Lonchura striata: one gene and its partner. The protein of the gene in region 1 purifies or fractionates together with the protein of each later gene. This does not show direct contact. Links are inferred from orthologs where the notes say so. Each region holds a gene or a part of one and is shown in the gene's direction. Other genes may lie near its edges. The genes, in order: RPP40 and RPP25.

Region 1 (10,926 bases):
TCAGTATACATTAGGTAGCCAAGTTGGTCTGAGCAACTTGCATAGCACTGGCAGGTGCTTAACGTCTGGAGCAGCAATAAAATTTAGTCCCTTTGGCTAGAAAATCACTTGCCTCTGCAGTAGGACCATCCTTTCCCTTCCTGTATTCTTTGTAATTTAAGGAAATCAAGTCCTAGTTTTCCAGCCATGTAAGTAGTATGTGATAATGACATTAAAACATTACCAAAAGGATGTTATCATTATTCATATCACCATGAATTGAAATTGCAACCTTAATAAAATTCTTTTAGACTTTTTGTTATTATTGGCTTGGCACAATTCAGGGCAGTTCTCCTTACAAGCCATCTGCAGATAATACATAGTTCAATACATTTTCATACAGTAAATATTTAAGAATAAGTTTAGCAAAATATGTTTCCTTTGCTGGTATCTGGACTACTAATCTGCTGTAACTCTGTCTCCATTTTCATATCCAAACAAAACAAGAAGACAAATCCCATGTCTCCCATTTGTTTTCACTCCCAAACTGAGGAGACATTTAAAGGCTGCTACTTCCATGATTCAGTACATCTTTTTTATTGTCTCTAATACGATTGACTGTGAATGCAACCTAATAGTGCCAAAACTGAGTTGTTTATCTTTTTACTCCGTGAAGCAGGACTCACTTCAGTTTGAAAATACTTCAAGAAGTCACACTGTAAGGAGTTCAAAAATAATTCAGTTAAAAGAAGACACTTTGTTTTCAAAATAAAGATGTTCTTGAAGAAGTGTAACTGCACCCTGCTCCTTCTCCCATCCAAGAAACAGAAGTGTCTGGGAACAGTTAAAGTGAACAGAAAGTTTTCACTGCTCTGTGTTATACTCTTCCCAACAGCAAGCAGTAAGTAGATCACTGCCCACTCATCTCAGTGGACTCATTGCTTTGATTTCTGGTAGTTAATGTCCCTCTCCCGTGCATACCACTATTTCCTAATCACATAAGCAGTACTGCCCAGACCCTTTCCATCCAAGCATTTAACTTGCAAATCTAAGGATAACTCAAGAGGATCAAGATTAGCTAGACTAGTCTTAGAGAACCAATCTTTTGAGCCCTTAGTTATTTTTTGAATTATTAATTAGGCTGGAGAAACAAGGAGGAGCAAATTAAAAACCAATGGGGATTAATGAATTGATGAATTGAACAAGACTTTTAAGAGAGATGGATTAATTTTCGTTGTGAAAATTAAATGGATTCAGTGATTTAAAAGGCTAAATTACCTCAAAAACCTATTTCAGGAGTGACTTTCTCCCCTTTGCAGTTTTCCTTTTTTTTTACCTGTTGTCCTTGAAGATTACATTTAATTTCACCTAATTTTATTAGTTATCCTGGAAAATGAAGAAAAAATGGTATTTCTTATTTCTTCCACAAGAAGGATGCATTCATTCCCCAACAGAAATCGCTTCCTTTGCATTCCAAGAGCAAAAGATTTATCTTGGCCAAAGGCAGAGTGTTTTTATTTAACTGTGATGCCTGTCTTACTTTGAAATTTGAAGATTAATGACTTTGTGCAAAAGTCCATGTCTCTTTCCTGCCATATGTCAGGGGGGTGTCTCATCACTATGGTTTACAAATGAATACATGTAGTCGTCATTTCTTGATTCATGTTACAGGACAGGAAGACCCATAAAGTTTTGACACTCAGCTGCAACAAGATGCAAATTTTTTATATTTCACTTGAAATATGGGCTTAAAAAAAGAAATACTAAGACCTCAGAGTCATTCTGGACAAAAAACAAAAACAAAAACAAAAAAACTAAACCTAGAATATTAAAAAAAAAAAAAACAGTAAAAGAGAATGTAAGTATGAACATTCTAGGGAAGAAAAATAGAAAAAGGAAAGGACACTAAAACAGGTTGCTTGCTTAATGTCTTAACTGTGCACACCTCCCAGGAAAGGTGCTTGAGAAGTCCCCAGTCTTCAAAATCCTGGGGACCAGAAGGAAAAAATAACCCTCTGTAGTTATGGCTTCAACTCCCATATACATACACACTTCTATGTCATACTCTTACCTGTGCTCCTGGCTTCTCATATTGCTCTCATGTGTTTATAGTCATAATTACCTTGTGTATTTACCTTGATGGTTAACCTTCACATATTCTTTTAAATACTTCCTAAACAAAACTTGCTCCCATTGCTCCCATGAGCCAATTTAATATCAGCGTAGATTGTACTTCTAGGCTGAAACTTTGAATCTTGCTCAAATGAATGAAATGTACAGTTCTAATTTTAAACTTTTGATAATGCCACACTTGTACCTAAAAAGGTAGATCTTGCTGAAAGTACTGCTCTTATCAAGGAACATGATTTTGTTTTATTTGTGGGTTAGGATCTTTTTTGAAATCTTGGGTTATTTTAAATACTACAGTTTCTGTTGCTTGATTTAATAGATAATATTAGGGAGAGAAATCGTGAATGCAGGCACTCCAGCAACGGCTTTTTGAGAACAGAGGCAAACTCTCCATCCATAGAGAAAGAGGCTTCCAGCTGGCTGAAAGAACAGGCTCCTCTCCCTGTGGCTTTCCTCCTCTGCTGGCACCATCTCCAGCTTTGCTGGGCTTGAAACCAGCAACCATGTGGCTCTGATGTTGCATTGCAAAAGGGTGATTGAAATGTTACTGCACTAAACTCGCAGGGCCAAACTTTGGCACTCATCCTTTGTGGAAACAGCTAAGGTCAGCCCCACACAAGATTGGTGTGAAGTGCAGCACAGGACTTTTTATAATTTGGGGGTGTCAGAGAAACAGTTTAGCAAGATAAAAATGCCAGTGGCCTTGCAATCCCAAGACTTGATAATAGTATGCAGTAATACACAAAAGAAAGAACAACAGGTACAAGAAATATTACTACTTTATTGGTGGAAATGGCAAATCCTCTCCTTGAAGCTTGAGCTGTGACAGGAAGTATTCTGCACTCATTGTAAGAGAAAATTCATCCTACTTTTATCATACTTTTAACTTTCTGTGCCACCATTTACCTTTTTCTTTTTTTTTTTTTAAGATATGGACAGGAAGGAATGCTTAGTAATATTTTTTCTTTGCTTTGCATTCTGTATCTTCATGATGTTCATTCAAGTAACAGTGTGCTCTGCAGCAATTCCAGGAGCAGTACTAATGTTACTAGAAATAAAATGTTTTAAGGATATTATCAAGACAATTTCTGCAGGGACAATTAATATCCTTTAGCACACCAGCTCATATAATGGGGAAAATTATGTACAGATTGAGAACAAAACTGCTACGATGAGTTGAACACCATGGTGTTAATTGGTTATTCAGTTTGAAGGGAAATGGTGCCTGTTATCTGTCACACCAGGAGAGGAGACATTCGCAGTGGAAAATGCAACATTTTCCCCATTTGTTATGGCACAAGGAGAAGGACATCTTTATTGCCCATGGAAGGTCAAGGTGGGTGTGGAAGTGCTCCCTAGGATGTTTCCCAGTAGATGAAGGGGCAACTAGAGGAACATGGCCACAGTTTGTTACCTACTGCAAGAAAACAGAGTACATGTGCCTCATATTAGCCCTTATGTGAAGGACAATTAATCTGTTTAGGAGGAGAGAGAAACTGTGTGAAAATTCCCCAGTATCATGCAGGGCCCTGACAAAATCTGATCCTTGGGAGGCAAGTGGAAGGGATGACCCTGCTTGAATATAGATGAAACACACTCCTGCTCCCCAGAACCTTGTTGGAGGAATTATCACTCTCATTTCTTCTGCAATTGTAATACCACAAAACTGAGTAGGAGTTTTCCCAGATGTCTGAGGGCTTAACTCCAAGGAAAACAGATTAGATGGTTGGTTGGTTGGCTGGTTGGTTGGATGGTTGGTTGGCTGGTTATGGCATTTTAACCAAATCAAACAACTTGGTCCATGGTTAGCATTCACTGATCTTCCTGGCTTGAATGGCTGCTTTGGGGAGTAGCTCGGCAGAGCTTTGTCTGTAAGCCCCTTAAAGAGCAAGTCTGAGAGGGACCTTTTTTACAGTCCATCACTGCTCTGAATACATGGACTAAAGTCTGTAAAACACAGGTTATAAAGCTAACTGTCCACATCTTCACCATCTTTCCACTTTCCTCCATGAAAAAAACCAGTTGGTGCTGATCAAGTAAATTGCTGGTTTTCAGTCTTATGCCTTTTATTATTTTTAGATTAACACAGCACCAGAGGTACCTATTTGTTTCTGTTTTGACAATTACTCATTATAATAGCCGAGGTTAAAAGATTTAGACAACTTCCTTCCTTCTCTTCTGCAGTCAAAACTATTTAAGAAAGAAAAAGTGACTGAAAGGAAAAATATTTTGATTCATCTTAAAGACACAAACCAATATCAAAGGTCTGTGACAAATACTTGTTTAGATTTGATTTAATGAAACTCTAAGTATTGTAATAATGTTGTTTTTAAATCATAAAATCCAGCTTTTAAGATTTTTCTTCCATAGTGATAAAGGTATATACAAGAAGCAGGGCTTCACAAAAAGAGATACTGTACATAATGTGAAGATCCAACTTTTCTTTCCAAACTCAGTCATTTTTTACAAAATCAGAATCAAATTTCACCAGTCCCAGAAAGTACTTGAGAGATCCTTCTGTATTCCAACTTATTACAAGTTGCCTCAAGACAGTCCTTTCCTCTTTACTATATCCTGTAACTGTCTTGAAGCATGCAGAAACTGAGTTGCTGTAAAACTGCATTACCCTGTCACAGGTTTTAAATCCTTAGGAAAATTGTGATAGCTTTACGCCTTAAATTATTTAAAGTATTTAAAGTTTAAAAGGGTTTGGGTTTTTTGTGTTTTGGTGTGGTTTTTTGTTTTTAGGGTTTGTTTTTTTGGGGGGTTTTTTTGTTTTTTACAATATACAGAAATCCCATACCAAATTACTCATAAAACTGTAACAATGACTATAAAAAAGTCAGCATTAACCAACAATTAGTATAGACACATACATATATATACATGATTTATGTCTCATTTAAAGATAGGGAGATTCTGTGTGTTACAACACAGACTACTGGACTTCTAAGTGGGTTTTTAATGTAGTTCGGTGTCTTCAGGGAGTTCTCTAAAACACACATACTCTATAATAGGACAGCAAATATCTATAACTATGGGTGGGTTAAAATTAATTGCCTGACATATGAACCAAACTGACTGAACAGTGATGCAAATCTCCTTCAGTGCTCCACTGTGCTGCAGCGAGCTACACTCCTGCCAGAATCCATAAAATACGGACTTAACGCTGAATACACAACCACGCATCTTGACTCTCTTGACCCTTCCCCAACATATTTCTTCTTCAAGTCTCTTCCCATCCATTCGTATCCTCAGTAGAAAGCATAAATTGTATCAGCATAGAGAGGCACATGAAAAGCCCCAACACACCCCACAAAAACGGCCCCTCCCCGCCAAAAAAAAAATCAAATCAAACAAACAATAAACAAACCCTCCACATGCTGCTTTGAGTATAGCTGAATTTTCCTGCCTGGCTCTCGGGCTTATTGATCGAAGGCTTGAACTTTTCACCCCTTAGTAGCACAGGCTTCCTGATCGCTGCAGTGCGAGGCTCGTCTGCCCACGGAGGGTGTGATAACAACTGACATTAATCATGTCGCTCCTTCCCCATTAACGCTTGCATGCTTAGAAGGCTACTGTGATTTTACACAGCCTTGATTTGATTCGTAATAATCCAGTCAATCTGATTTATACGGGCAGGGCAGACTTCAGCCCTCCTCCACGGCGTTAAGGAGGCAAGGACCTCCCGAGGTGCGGCTTTCACCTCGGCGCAGGGCACAAACCTCCGAGCTCGGAGCAGCAGCAGCAGCGATGTCCCGGTGTCCCTCAAGCACACGGGCACTCGGAAAGCTCATGCCCTGAGACACCGGGGGCTGAGTTAGCCTAAGGAGCCAGAAGCGCCGCACTTAGCGACTCTGCTGGCTACAGAAACGGCAAGTACCCAAAAAGTTGCTCGGTGCCATTTTAAATTGAATTGGAAGCCGCGAAGCCAGGGGACCGGCAAAATAAACACTGCAGGAAGGCGGAAAGCCGGAATTTTCGTGTATGCTTTGTGTGAAATGTACAACATTCAGAAGGAGCGGCGAGACAACACAACACATCCAAGGCAGGGTCGCACTCCATGGCTCTTGTGCGGTGCCTGAGCAGACCGACAGGAGAGGCGCCCCGGTGCCTGGCTCAGCCTGCTGGGCTACTCGGGAGTCAGAGAACGCTTGGGGTTGGGACAACAAAGCTCATCCAGCTCCATACCCTCTCCCATGGGCAGACACGCCTTCCAGTACACCAGGCTGCTCAAAGCTCTGTCCAACCTGGCCTTGAACACTTCCAGGCATGGGGCGTCCACAGCTTCCCTGGCCAATCTGTTCCAGTGCCTCGCCACCCTCACAGTAAAGAATTTAATCTTAATATCTAATCTAACTCTACATTCTTTCAGTTTGAAGCCACTGCCCCTGTCCTGTCACTCCAGGCTGTTGGAAAAGGTGCCTCTCCCGCTCCCTCCGGGCACTGACCCACCGCCGCGCTTAAACCACCGCGCACTCTGCAGATGCACACCCAGCCCCTGCGGGGTCGGTGTCCGATCCGTGCCGAGGCTGCTCAGAGCCCGCAGGGACCGAGAGCCCCGAGCGGCCACCGGCGCTGGGCAGGGCACCGGCGACAGCGGCCGCCGCGGCCCCGCCGCCGCCACAGCGGAAGCGGCTGCGCCGCCGGAGCCGGCGGACGTGACCTCACGGCACGGCCCCTTCCCGGCCCTCCTCGCCGCGTCTGGCAGCTCCCGGTCGGCGGCGGCGGAGGAGGAGGAGGAGGAGGAGGAGGAGGAGGAGGAGGAGGAGGAGGAGGAAGGCGGGCGGGACCCGGGATGCAGCCGGCGCAGCTCGGGCGCGCGCCGCGGCACCTGCTGGTGTGCGAGCGCGGCCACGCGCGCCACCCGCGCTCGCGGCACGCGGCGCACGTGCGGGACCACGCCTACAGCTGCCGCGTGAGTGGCGGGATCCCCTCAGGGCGGCGGGGAGGGGAGGGGAGGGGAGGGGAGGGGAGGGAAGGGAAGGGAAGGGAAGGGAAGGGAAGGGAAGGGAAGGGAAGGGAAGGGAAGGGAAGGATCGGGGCTGCCCACGCCGCCGTCCCCGGGGTTTCTGCCCGCCAGCCGCTCCAGGGCGCGCTGCCGGCGCCCCGCTCGCGCCAGGCTCGGTGTTCTGTGGGGGCTCCTCCGTCCTTGCCAGAGGTGGCCCGCGCGCCTCGTTTTTGGGGGGGCGGGGTGTACAAATTATCAAATTATCCCCCTTTGTGTTTGTGGTCTCGCTCAGTATGGGAGAAACCAACTCCTCCCTTCCTCCAGGAGCAGGCAGGAGGAGCAGAGGGGTGAGCCGGTGGGAGAGGTGATGGTGCGGGTTTTAGGAGCTCTTTAAACACGGCGCAGGGTCCAGTTTAGGAAAGAGACATCGCTTATTCCGCGCAGGGCGCAAGGCGGAGGTTTCCGCAAGTCAAGCACACCACCTATCAAAGCGTTTCACTATTTATGCATTTTAGCAAACAAGATACAAGTTACATAGTTCTTTCATTAATTAGTACTATCTTCTGTTGGTTAGTGAGTCTCACATGCTAATTAATCTGCATGCTCAGTCTTTCTCAGCTTAGGAGTCAGGGGGTTTCTGGGGTCGGTGGCCGAGATCTCTACCTGCCGGAATTGCCTTTTATCCACTCAGAGCTGATTCAGCAGAGTTGCTGGGTTTATTAAGTTTCTTACTTATTTTGAGAGTTCTGCTAAATGCCTTTGTGGCCCATAAATTCTGCGTTCTTTCTGCCCACTATCAGTGGTACATCCTTCTCCCCAGGCTTTGTTAACCTCACCCTAGGTCTGAGATCACTGAAACATGTCCAGCCCTAAAGGTTAACAAAGAGACCTGGACTTCACTTAGGGCTTGTTAGCTGTGCTCTCGTTTCATGGATTAAATCTCCCTTCTTGTTGATTAGGCATGAAAGTGTACAAAGGCCACGCATCAAAGAACATCCTTCCTTAAGAAAAGTTGTAGCTATTCCACATTTTGCAGCAATCAGGCAAGACCCTATTTGATAACTCCCTTCTCATACCCTGTAACTCTCTGGGCTAATTGTTAACTGTTTCTGACTTCTGGGACCTTTTTTAGCAGCTAATCAGAAAGCTTTCTACCGGCATGGAAGGCAGCTCGTTTGTCAGTCCGTTCTTCTCTTGAACATGTGTGCCAAGGGAGATACACACCTGGTCTTCAAAAGCTTTGGGAAATAAGTTTTTTGAGGGATGGAGGGAGGAGCAAGGAGACATACCTTTATGCTGCCTCTGAGGCTTCATACTTGCCCATCTATTACTTGCCAGATATTACCTTATTTCCCTCTTCTGCCATACTTCAGGATTCTCTTGGTCTATGGAAAATGTATGGGGAAGGTTTTAAGCAAAAGGTAAATTGAAGATTCTACTTTGGTCTTTGCTTTTCCACTGAGATTACAGAAATGGTTAGCATACATTTTTAGTTGCAACTGCTTTAACAAGTACTCCAGCATGGGCTGAAGGTGTCCCAGTGCGACATCAAGCTAAAATGTGTAATGATGTGAAACGAAATCTTCTGTTAACTCATGCTGTGTGAGATCATGTCTTTACATAATACATCAAATGCTATTGTATAGAAAAAAAAAAGGGGGGAAAAACCACAACAAACAAACAAACAAAAAACAAACAAACCAACCAAAACCCAAACCAGCAAATAATGTATTTAGTGTACCTGGAGACTATGAAAATTGATACATTTTGAAGACAGTAGCCTGATACTACTTTTTTTCCATTCCATTATGATATAATATACTGATCCATCTTTGAAAAGTAGAGGTTTTCTTTTGTATTTCTTGTAGTTTTGTTTGGTTGGAGTTTTTTTCAGAACAGGTTTTAGGATAGGATTTGTATTACAAATATCCTCTGAACAGGTGTCTTTTTTGATCCCGGAATGTGGCCTGCTGCCCGAAGTGCTGAAAAGCACAATTGCAGATATTGGAGAGTACTACCTGGTGAGGAGTTTACCCATTCATGAATTGGTCGCTCATGAATTCATTGATGCTTTTGTGAAGAAAGGTAAGGAGGAAATCAAAACAGAGCAAATACAATCATAATGTACCTTTTTATAGCACAGCAAAATTTTTAATAGTCTTATTATTTATTCTGAAAAGTGTTTTAAAGGAAGGAAAGGAAAAGCACTAAGAAAATTCTGCATTAATTTGTTTATATGCTTTTTTCTGCTTTGTCACGTGTGACAACATCTGTTTACACCCACAGGGTCTAAAACTCCTCTGATTCTTCCTAATAAATTTCTCTCTCTTCCACCTCAATTCTGAAAGCCAGCTATCAAGAGGGCTTCCATGTATCCTCACACTTGTTTCTTCTACACCTCACTTTTGTACAGATTCTTATAGAAAACTTCCTTCTCCCTTTTTTGTTCCTTCATGTCTCAACACAGAGCTGTGCTGAGCTGTGTTCCACAGCAGGCAAGAGAAAAATATGCTTCCTTGTTTTTTATATTTCACTAAGAGAGCTGTGACAGCTCATTCTTACCCAGTAAGAGCAAAGAGGATGCAAAGAAAGTTACAGTCTCTGCCCAGCCACTTTGTCTTTGTTTGGACTGGTAATAAAAATATGTCTGGGAAAAAATAGGGTTTTCCATTTGATGACTGTGGAGAGTCAGAGGTCACAGAAGGAAGTAAAATGTTTTCATATCGGGGATTATTATTAACCTATTAGTAATTATTAATAATTAACCCTATTATAGGTCCTTTAAAATATTGCGAGAACAGGGTTTTTAAAAATAATAACAATGCCATTTTGCTTGAGAAGGTGGGAGAAAATTAATGAAAACACAAGAGTGATTCAGATGGTGTTTGTCATGTTTGGTTGTCTTGAAGTGAATTGTTTCTTTTGTCATGTCTGTCTTTACAGACTGTCTAATCTCATGTTTTTCTGCTTTACTGTTAAAGGTTCATGCTATGCACTTACCTATAAGACAAAAATTGATCAAGATAATACTGCAGCTCTGCTACCAAATGGTATGAAGGATTTGTTTTGTTTTTAGTAATATGTGTCAATTGTGGTCTGGGTTGTTTATTTGTTTTTTTGTTTTTTTTTTTAAATTTGGAATGATGTAAACTGAAAAATAATGCTTACTGTAATTGATAACTTTGTTAGAAATACATGTGAAATGGGAAAATACTAATTTTAGCTCTCTTTTTTCATTCATGCTGTTAAATTTTTTGTCTCATCTAAAGGAAATTAAAGAGGAATAAAAATCAGCTTCATTTATGTATAGTCAGATTGTCAGTGCTTCAACGATAATTGCAATTGCTACAGGGAATTATCTTTGTGAAAACATTAAATTCCAACTTCTTGTTTCCTACTGGTCTTTAAGACAGAATTTTGTACCAAAAAAGAAAGTTATCAGCACTGCTTAGGAACACTTTTTAAGTGTTTATTCTCATGAGACCCACCTTGGGTACTTCATTCAACTCTGGGTCCCCAGCAGAGGAAGGACACGGACCTGATGGAACAAGTCCAGAGGAGGTCACAAAGATGCTCACAGAGCTGGATCACCTCTCCTTTGAGGACAGGCTGGGAGAGCTGGGGTTGTTTAGCCTGGAGAAGAGATGGCTCTGGGGAGAATCAGAGCGCCTGCCTGGAAGCAAACCACAGAGGAAATTTTTAACAGGTCATGTAGCAGTAGGATGTGGGGGAATGGATTCAGACTGGAGAAGGGTAGGTTTAGATTGGACATCAGGAAAAAAGTCCTTACTGTGAGTGTGGTGAGGCCCTGGAACAGGTTGCCCATAGAAGTTGTGGTGCCCCATCCCTGGAAGTGCTCAAGGCCA
Region 2 (10,459 bases), on another chromosome or scaffold:
AGATGGCGTATCCCCACCTGCCTGCAGGTTTTGCCCTTTCCCAGCTATCCAGGCAGAGCTGGCTGTGGCCAACACATTTCCCAGGACGCGGGGTCCCGGCAGTTGGTGCCGGGGGCTCCCGGGAGGATGGGGGGCTGTCTCTGGGGGTCTTTTCGCACTCCCCAGGGCTCGCCGTCCCCGGCATCGGCCGGCAGCCCCCGGATGCTTCCATCCCGCCAGCGCTATAAATACGAGCCCCTCGGGCGCGGTGACGTCCGCCCGGCCGCCCCTACCCACGCGTGTCGGGAGCGGGGACACACGGCCAGGCACCCCCGGCCCCACACCCGCGCCACCGTGGGGCGAAAGCACCGGGACAGCCAGAAATTCGGCTGGGGTGTTTTTGCAAAATTAGGAATATGGTGGAGTGGATGGAAAAAGGACGGGGGATCGCATAGGTGGTGGCAGCGAGAAGAAACACTTCTGGTGCGTGGGGTGGGTTTGGGGAGGGCAGGCAGGGCTCGGCCTCGCCGTGCATCGCTGCCCGTGCATTTCCACGCGTGAAGGGCTGCATGCCCCACGCATCCCCACCAAAAGCAGTCTCCCAGCAGCGGCCTGGATCCGGGAGAAGGGCGGCCCAACCCCCGCTCGGTCCCCGGTGCACCCACGCGTGTGCAGGGTCACCGCGGCTGCCCCCACGCCGCGCATCCCCCCCCCACCCCGCAAGCGGGGTGCAGAGCGGGAGGTCGGTGCAAAGGGCAGTCAGCCCCCCAGGGGGGAGCATCCAGCGCCCTCACGCCGCGGCGTTTCCCCTGGCCACACTCCCGGGACTCACCACGTGGCGTGACCCGTCCCGTCCCCTCCGGTCCCCGGCGGGTGGCGGCGGCCGCCCGCCCGCCCGGTGCTGCTCCTGCCGCAGCGACCGCGCTCTCGCGAGACTGCGGCGCCGCCGCCACCCGGGCTATGGGCAGCGCCGGGATCTCGCGAGAGCGCCCGCCGCTGTCCAGGGTCCTGATGCCGCCGGATGGAGGGGCGGGGCCGAGGGGAAGGGGCGGGGCCTTTGCCGGGGGGCTCTGTAGGGCTGGGGGCTCCATGGCGCTGGGAGTCCTCTGTGGGGCTGGGAGTGCTCTGTAGGGCTGGGGGGACTCTATAGGGCTGGGGGCCCCATGGGGCTGGGAGTGCTCTGTAGGGCTGGGAGTGCTCTGTGGAGCTTGGGGGGCTCTGTGGGGCTGGGAGCTCTGTGGGGCTTGGGGGGCTCTGTGGGGCTGGGAGCTCTGTGGGGATAGGAGTGCTCTGTGGGGCTGGGAGTGCTCTGTGGGGCTTGGGGGGCTCTGTAGGGCTGGGGGCTTCATGGGGCTGGGAGTGCTCTGTGGGGCTGGGAGTGCTCTGTGGGGCTTGGGGGGCTCTGTAGGGCTGGGGGCTCCATGGGGCTGGGAGTGCTCTATGGGGCTGGGAGTGCTCTGTGGGGCTGGGAGTGCTCTATGGGGCTGGGAGTGCTCTGTAGGGCTGGGAGTGCTCTGTGGGGCTGGGAGTGCTCTGTGGGGCTTGGGGGGCTCTGTAGGGCTGGGAGTGCTCTATGGGGCTGGGAATGCTCTGTGGGGCTTGGGGGGCTTTATAGAGCTGAGGGTTCCATGGAGCTGGGAGAGCTCTATGGGGCTTGGTGGCCTTTACAGGGCTGGGGGCTTCATGGAGTTGGGACTGCTATATGGGCTTTGAGGGGCTTTATAGGGCTGGGAATGCTCTATGGGGCTTGGGGGGCTTTATAGGGCTGGGGGCTTCATGGCACTAGGAGTGCTCTATGGGGCTTGGGGGGCTTTACAGGAGTGGGGGCTCTATAGGGGTGGGAGTGGGCTTGAGGGGCTTTATAGGGATGGGGGTTCTATGGGGCAGGAGTGCATGATCCCTACCCAGGGCATGGCAAGCACTGTGTGGGTAGAAGGGCAGGGGCCCTGGGGTCAGCCCTGGCAGGGTACACAGGCTCCCTCTATCCAGGAGGCAATGGGAAACCAGCAGGGCCAAGCTTGGGGTACGCCATGCCCATGCCCTGATGTGCTTCATTCTGGAAGCAGTAATTAATTAATGGCTCGTGTGAAGGGCAGAAGACGTTGATTGCTTTTGCCAGTGATGCCAAGGTTGGGATGTGGAGGGCAGGGGAAGGGACTGGACTGATTCACAGACGGGACAAGGTTCAGAAGCTCCTAAAAGGGATGTAAGTCCCAAACCAGCTGAGTGCTCCATAGGCTGTGTCCCTTGTTCTCAGTGTCACAGAGTTCTGTGCACACCACTTGGACCTCCTGCCTTAGTGCTTGTGAGAATATCAGTGAAGTGTTGTGAAAATTTCTTTATTTGACAGCTAAATCATCTTCCCTTCCCAGCATCCACCCTCAAGGGTCATGGAGGGGCAGTAAGGACAACATCCCACCACGGGAAGATGAGAACAGCTGGGCAAGGAAGCAGCAAAATCTCTTTACACCAGTGAGCCCTGGTGGCCAAACCCCTTCAGCAGGGGAACAGCATTGCTGTGGGCATGCAAGGAAGGAAACCTGGCAGAAAGAGGGAAAATGCCTGCTCCACAGATGGTAAAATAGAGGGAAGCAGGAAAACCAGCATGCCACAGATGACCCCATAGCAGGGGGCCCAGCTGTCCACTCTGACCCCTTTCTGGACCCTGAGCTGTCCCCCTGAGAGAACAGGGACCCCTGCACATCTCCATGCCCTGCCCAGCAGCGGGGAAGGAAGGAAGGGGTGGGATTGGGATCATGGATTCCCACTCCCGCCAAGCACTGGAGATGCTCAGCGCCTTGGAGAGCTGCTCTGGCTCTGCCTGTGGACACTGAGCACACTGGATATTTGGGGCTGAATTCTTGTCCCTTATTTCTTTCTCTCCAGCTTTCTCTCACCTGAATTTCCTCCCCACCTGCATCTCTGCTGCCTCAGCACCCTCCCATCCCACTGAGGCTTTGGGAATGGTCACATACAGAGCTGATCCTTGCCCTTGGCACTGCCACATTTTTGCCTGCCTGCAGGTTTTCCAGTCAGGGATATTCAGGAATCAAATGGATATGTTCTCCCCTGCTTCACAGGGATGCCTGGAGAGCCAAGGGATAACAGGTGGAAGAGCCTCCCTGTCCATCCCACACTCCCTGAGCAGGGCAGGCTGGGCAGGAAAGGCAGGCCCAAAGAAAAGGCTGCATCAAGCAGCAAAGTCTCAGCAAGCAAACAGATTCAAAAACAAGGAAATCAATCCACAGGTCCAGTTTAGTGTCAGTCGGTAGGTTGGAGTCCAGACCAGCTGCAGCTGACCCAGAAACCAGTCCTGACATAGCTGAGACTAGGACTGAGACCCCTGGGTTGAGCTTAAAAAGAGCTCCTGGGCCGTGGGCACAGGGGGTTGGAGTCCTAGATGGGGTTGGTGAGGAACATTCAGGTTTATTAATGTCCTCAGGGTCCTTACAACATCCCTCTTCTTATTATGCTGGAGCTCTGCAAAGGGATTTGTCTTATGAAAGGGATTTTTCCCTTTTCTTTTACCGTTGGGTTATTCAAAATGAGGATTATCTTGAGCTCTGTAATTTTCTGCTTATGGCAGGGATAAGAACTCAGCAGAGAGCTGGTGCCACCCTAGGGTGCTCCTAGGGTTCCTCTGGCATCTTGGCACAGCCCCTGCGCCCTGGGCTGTATCCTCAGGGGGCTGCTGCTGGGAAGCAGCAGCTCTGGACCCTGACTGGGATGAGGGCAGGGGATCCCTGCAGCTGTGGCATCCTGGAGGTGCCTGTGCACCCCTTTTGCCAGGGTTGCAATGTGCCCTGGCATCAGCCCGCTGCCGAGTGCAACGTGATGAGAGGCTGAGACCTGAGCTGCGCCGATGTGACGCAGAGATGGGCGATGGCACCGAGACTTTCCTTGTATCGGATGCTCCCACTTTCCGTCCTCTTCCCAACCAGGGCCACCTTGCATGAAAGAAAATATGGAGAGGGCAGGTGGAGGACAGGGGCTCAGGTTACTGCTCCTCTCCACCTGCTCTGATCTCCATTAGGAATATGTTTCTGGGGTTTTTTCCCCACTTTTCCAGGTCTGTCTGGGCTCTGTGCTGCATCCAGCAGCCCTCTCCATTCCTGTCACCACAAGCTCTCCTCTTGGCTGCTCTCCCAAACAGCTCTTCCAAGCTCACACCTCCTGTGGGGTTGGGACCAGGCAAGAGGGTCCCACAGGGATTTGGAAATCCTCTGGCATGGGGTTGGGATGGCACTGGAATGCTCAGAGAGAAACTGTAATGGGAAAGGGGAACCAGAAAACACTCTCTGGGTGTGGGTCCCACTGTAACCAGAGTGGCTGCTCAAGGAGGGCAGACAGACAATACTCAGCATGTAATTCTTTTACTCTTATTTTTTCATCACTCCTGCCTTCCCCATTTGCTTCTTCTCCATTTTAAAGGACTCCCCATCCTCTTTTCCAGCTTTTGTTTCCCTGATTCCCCACGGCTGGAGCTGTCTGTGCCTTTGTCCCCCCATCTCTGCTTTTCCTTTCCCACCCTACTGAGCTCATTTCAGCTATTCCTTGGCTTGGAGTAACCCATCCACACTGTTGTCCTCCAACAAATAAGCTGACAGGCTAATGAATAGCTTCAGATGGTAATTAGCAACGGAGTTGCTAATAATGAATTTCATTTACATTTTAAGCGCTGCAGAGGGAAAATAAGCCCCTGTCATTAATGCCCCCCTGCTCCCAGCACAGCCTTGGCCTTGGGGGGAATGCACCCTCTGGAAGCCTTTCTGTGATTGCACCTCTCCCGCCTCCATTTCGGAGGCTGCGATAAGCAGAGTTCATTAAGCAGCAATTAGAGATGGAGGGGGGGAGAAGCTGCTGCTGCTTCCATCATCTGATGGTGGGGAAGCGCCATGGTGCCATGGAAAATGGGCCACGGGAGGCAGGAGCTGGTTCTGGGCCAGGAAAGAAGGGCTGGGTGGTTCAGCCAGCACCAGGGATTCACGTGGCTTGCCCAGAGCCCTGGAGCTGTCAGCTCTCCACATCCATGTAACCCTCCCAGGCTCCCTGGATAATGACCCTGAGGGATTTCTCAGTCACTGAAATCCTTCCCGATTATTTCCCTAGGGGTTTAGCACATTTTGAAGGCAGGAATTTCCCTGAGGGGCTTAATCCATCCCTGCCTGCCCAAAGAAAGAGCCAAGTGCCTTCTGCATGGATTCCATGATTTGTTGGCAAATGGAAAGATGGAGAAATGTCATTGTTTTGTCTTGTAGGAGTGGGGAATCCATGGTGGGAGCACAGGGAACAGGTTTGCCCACTACTGCAGAGCATCAGAAGGGACTTGGGAATGCTCAAAGCCTGGATCTGGTGCTGGGGGTGAGCCTAGGAGTGTTGCTTGCCCTGCCTCAGTTTCCCTCTGTGCCCAAGGCGCCTCAGGGAGGGTTAGATGGATTGGGAAACAATGCTCCGCATCTACAGGGGTTTTCCAGCACACTGCTTGTGGATGGAGGGTCCCATCCCATCCCATCCCATCCCATCCCACAGACCCACCCAGACCCCAGTCCAGTGGTTGGATCAGGGGGTGTCCCAAATCCATCCCCATTTAGGCAGTGGTATACATAGAAAGCTGCTTTGGGGACCACAGGGATGAGGGATTCTCCCCAGATAGGATGTGACAGCCACATCCTGCCTTCACCTTTGCAGACATGGATCGATTTTATGATTTATTTATTTATTTATTTATGTTTTTTTTTTCAAGCCCTGCTAGAAGTGAAACCAATCCAGGGGCCTCCAGAGGCCGATAAGATTTGACTGCAAGTCAATACTCACATGTCTTTCCACTGTGCAATGATCCCCCGGCCAGCGGGGCGGGAGGGGACAGGCAGGTGACAGGGGCGGGCAGAAGGCCAGCCTGGGGCAGGGACATCGCCTCTGCTCTGGGAAGGGATTGGGGGCAGGAAGGGGACATCTCCTAGCCTGCAGCAGGGATTTTCTGGGATTTGTTGCCAGTATATATAATGGTGAGCCCGCAGTGGGCAGCTCCACATTGGGGATGAATGAGGGACAGGGACTGGGAGAGCTGCAGGGAGAGGGAGGGATGGGGAAGGAGGAGGAGCGGGAGAGAGGGAGAGAAATTGCCCATGAAAACCAGCTCTGCCATGGCATCTGCTCCTCGGAGCTTTGGGAATTGAGAGGTTTTCCTGCTGGCAAAGCCGGGGCTGAGGCAGCAGGGTGCTGGGGGGAGCAGAGCCCTGGCACACTCGATGCACGCTCGCCTGCGATGCCATCTGCCAGGCTTTCTCCTGGCTGCGGGTTCCTGTGGCTTCTCTCATGGCTAACAAGGGTCGAGCTCAGACTCCGAAGTACTTCCTGAAGTACCTGCTGCATCTTTGTGCCATCCCTGGACACAGCGTGGCTGGGATTCCGCATCCCTCTGGGAATGCTGCAGGGCAGGCAGGCAGGGTGACATTTGCAGTTAGCAGTGGGCGTCCTTGAGAGGAGCGAGCACCGAGAGAAGGGACCAGGTTCTCTTTAAGGGGGCAGGACTTTGGGAACATTATGAAGGCAAGAGTGAGCTTCTCCCTCTGCCTTCCACCCTCCCCTCCTTCCCTTCTCTGTTCCAGGACAGAGACCTGGGTTCCCTGCCCTCCCCTTTGCCTGGCAGGGATGAAGGCAGGAGCAGGGTGCTGGGATGGGCGGCTGAGCAGGGGAGGAGGAGGAGGAGGGGAGGAAGGGGAGGGAGAGGGGGAGGATCTGCTAATTACACAGAACAGCTCTGGGGGCTGCTGAAGTCCAGAATGAAGCAAAGAGCAGCAGAAGCGAGTGCTGCAGCGGGAGCGGAGGAGCCCAAGCATCACCAAGAGCTGGAGCTGGCTGTTATCCCTGCTGAGAGCAACTGGGAGCACCCAGAGGATCCTGCAGCCCTGCCTCCCACAGGAGACAGCCTCTGGCACTGCCACCGAGCCCACAGCCAGCCCCTGGAGAGCCGAGGAGAAAGGGCTGGTGGTTGCAGCACACAGGGCTGGGCTGGAGGGCAGCGAGGTCAGCCCTGCTATGGTTGCCGGGGGCTAGGAGCCTGTGTGGATCCACCGGGAAGAGGTGAAGGATGGCTGCCGAAGGAGGGAGAGCCAAGCCCGCTGCCCAGTCCAGGATGGAGAACTTCCGAAAGGTGAGGACCTCGGAGGAGGAGATGCCATTACCCTTCCCAGACCTGCCCCCGGACGTGGTGGAGATGAAAGTCAAGGAGGGCAGCAAGATCAGGAACCTGATGAACTTCGCCATGGCCCAGATGGAGCTGAAGGGCAGGCGGCAGATCGTGTTCAGCGGCTGCGGCAGGGCGGTCACCAAGACCATCACCTGCGTGGAGATCATGAAGCGCAAGCTGGGAGGGCTCCACCAGGTCACCAAGGTACGCTACAAAACTGTGCTGGAGGTCTGGGAGAACCAGGACCCACCGCCCGACGGCCCCGCACAGAACCTGACTGTCCACAAGAACGTCCCCTCCATCTGCATCCTGCTCTCCCGGGACCCCCTGGATCCCAACCAGATGGGGTACCAGCCCCCCGAGCCCCGGCATGAGGCGGGAGAAGACACACTGGGGTCCTCCACCAAGGGGCTGAAGCGGACGCTGCCACCTCCCTGCGAGGAGCTGCTGCCCAAGAAGCTGCAGGTACAGGTGCCTGACAGCCCCAGGGGCACGGGGACCACTGCTGGCCAGCAGGACCACTGACCCCAGTGCCTCCCACCCTACCAGCCAGGTATCGAGGCAGGAATATCCACTCATTCCAAGGTCACTGGTGGGCTGCAGACTCCCCCTGACCTGTCCCCACTTGCTGCTTTGACCCCTGTGGATGGGGGTCCCCAGATTTGGCGTGAGTGTTAAACGGTTAAACCCTCCATGGATTGAAGCAGGTGAGGCTGTGGGGGGGAGCTGGTGACCTCTAATTCAGCCAACCAGGGACACTGTGACCACCAGCCACCTCCTGCAGCAACTCCCAGGGAGCCAGAGCAGCCGAGGGGTGCCTGGACCACCACACCGCTCCCCACTGCAAACACCTCATCCATCAGGAGAGATGGGTTTGCTCCAAGCTTGTTGGAATAAAACCTTCATTATCAAACCTGCCGCTGAGGAGCTGTTGGAGTTACTAATGACAGGCTCAGCATCCTGTGAGACTGTGATTCATCCCAAAAAAATCACCCAAACAAGCACAGGGGTTGTTCTCTCCCTGCACCCACAGAGCCAAGCACTGTACTGTGCTGCCTGCCTGTGGGACAGCAAAAGGAAATAAAACAACCCACACTGGATACTCTGGTCTGGAGCTCGGGGAAGCCACGGTGTGGGAAGCTGGGGGCAATGGAAGCATTGGGCAGGGGATTATTGTGACTGGATGCAGTGCCCAGCACAGGATGAGGAGGTTTTGGGGTTGTGCCTTGGCTGCAGAGTGCTTCAGAGCAAAATCCCTGCTACTTCCAGGGGGTAAAGAGAAATGAATGGAAAATAAAAGCTCTTTAGAAATAGATATGTCTATGGGAAAAAGGGGGGATCATCGTGGCTGCTGGCCATGGCACGGATCAGCACAGTGAAGGCTGCTGCCAGCCCTCAACAAGGGGATCCCAGCCAGACTCTGTCCCTTGGAAGAACGGGACTGGGGTCTCCTGTGCCGGCACAGCAGCACCTGGCAAAGCCCCAGTTCCAGGGGGGACGGAGGAGATGTGGGGGATGTGTTATGGGATGCCAAGCCTTGATCCACCTGGTTCCCTCTGCCCAGCGCCTAGCAGCACTGCGGGATGAATTAATCGGTATTAAGGAGCAAACCCTTCCCAAAATCCACGTGAGGGATTCTCTGGCTGCAGCTGCCTTATCTCCCTGCCTCACTCCTGCTCTACAGGGACAGTCAGCGTTCTCTCTTTGTCAAGGGCTTGCTTGGCTGGGAGTGGGAATGAAAGGAGAGGAGGAGGAAGAGGAGGAAGCAGGGTCTGTTTTGTGAGGCAGTGACCTTGTTATCTCCCTCAGCAGGCAGATGCTCCTCGGGCCAGACGCTTGTGCTTATCTGTCCTACTGCAGATTGATTCCCTTCACTTGAACATTAATTTCCAACTGTTTTGTTTTTATGTTAATGATCTTTTTTTGTTGTTGTTGTTGGTTTGGGGATGGTAAAGCTTTGGGCTCTATCCCATCCAGCTCCCCCCAGCTCCTTTATGCAGTGCAGACCCCATCTGAAGGATCTAATGATCAACCCTTCACCCCACACAGGAGCACCAGGTACAGCCACCTACACCAAATACATTAAAAATTACTAATAAAATTAATTTAAAACCCTGTAATTAATAAATCTCTCTGTAAACACCCTGATCAGAACCTGAAGACTGTGGGAGTCACATGGTCAAACACTAACAGCCCTTCACCTTCACTGCTGCCACCTCACATTTCTCCGAGCAAGGAAACAAGAATAAAAACCACTTATTTCTCCTTATTTTGTTCATTTGCAAGATCTCTTCAATGGCTTTCATTGACAGGTAGTTTCCAATCACAGAGGCAGCTCTGGGGATTTTACCCTCCTTGCTTGCTTTGCTGGCTGCGGATTGATAACTTCCTGCAGGGGAAAATAATAAAAAAGGACTGTTAAAAAAAAAAAGTATTTAAACGAGAATGATGATGCCGGGGGACGTGGTGAGTGGAATAATCACGACGGTTTTGTGGTTTTGTGCGGCACTGCAGAGGCACAGCCCCAGGGATGAGTTTTGTGGCGATTTCGTGCCCGGGTCGGTGCGGCGGTGGCTGAGGGCAGCAGCGCACGGTGTGGGGACAGGGACACTCGGAGAGCTGGGAGGTGGCGGGCGCGGCCGAGCCGCTCTGAGCCCATTCCCCTCACAGGGACCGAGTGCGGGGTGCCCATTGACAGGGACGCAGAGGCTGCACTGGGGCTGCGCGGACTCGGATAAATGGGGGCGGCAACAGCCCGAACCCCTCCAGACCGAGCCCGATCGTCTCAAAAAAGCAGCCCAAACACTCCCGCGGCGCTCCTCGGCGAGGTGAAGGGCCGGCGGACTCGCTCCCCTCACGCACAAAATGGCGGCCGGCCCCGCCCCAAGATGGCGGCGGTCCCGCCCCGCCGCGCCCCCAGCCCGTCCCCGCCGCCTCCCGCCCTTCCACGCTCCCCCTCCGTCCCCGCCGCGCCGCCGTACCCGCCTCAGCGGCCCCCCTCGGCCCTCACCTCCGTCCCTCCCTCCCGGTGCGCTGCGGGACCCAGCGGCGCGCCCCCGCTCCCCGGTGCTGTTTCCCCCCTCACAGCCCGCCGCCATGCTGGCCGCCAGCGCCTCTCTGCTCCGCCGCTGCGCCGTCTCCGGCCTCCGCGCCGCCGTCCGCCGGCCCGCCGGCCCTGCAGGTGAGCGGCCGCACTGTCTCCGTCCCTGCCGCCGCGCTCGGCGCCCGGGCTGCCGGCGGGGCGGGGAGCGGGGCCACGCGGCCCTGCGTGTCCTTGCCGTGACCCCGCGG

What was found.
Region 2: the proteins of RPP40 (region 1) and RPP25 purify together in Homo sapiens (affinity purification with mass spectrometry; 3 studies listed by BioGRID and IntAct, counting the BioPlex papers as one, with this or other methods). This does not show direct contact. The link is inferred for Lonchura striata from reciprocal best matches to the Homo sapiens genes RPP40 and RPP25.

Annotation. Positions count from the first base shown.
Region 1 is NC_134603.1:94,110,373-94,121,298, forward strand, and holds the start of RPP40 (ribonuclease P protein subunit p40), read left to right. Parts: upstream 1-6,906; 5' UTR 6,907-6,907; coding exon 6,908-7,027; intron 7,028-9,000; coding exon 9,001-9,145; intron 9,146-10,041; coding exon 10,042-10,110; intron 10,111-10,926. UniProt on the Homo sapiens protein: Component of ribonuclease P, a ribonucleoprotein complex that generates mature tRNA molecules by cleaving their 5'-ends. Also a component of the MRP ribonuclease complex, which cleaves pre-rRNA sequences.
Region 2 is NC_134613.1:5,873,955-5,884,413, forward strand, and holds RPP25 (ribonuclease P protein subunit p25), read left to right. Parts: upstream 1-6,579; 5' UTR 6,580-7,069; coding exon 7,070-7,693; 3' UTR 7,694-8,481; downstream 8,482-10,459. Other genes in the region: COX5A (cytochrome c oxidase subunit 5A, mitochondrial), read left to right, coding at 10,265-10,349. UniProt on the Homo sapiens protein: Component of ribonuclease P, a ribonucleoprotein complex that generates mature tRNA molecules by cleaving their 5'-ends. Also a component of the MRP ribonuclease complex, which cleaves pre-rRNA sequences.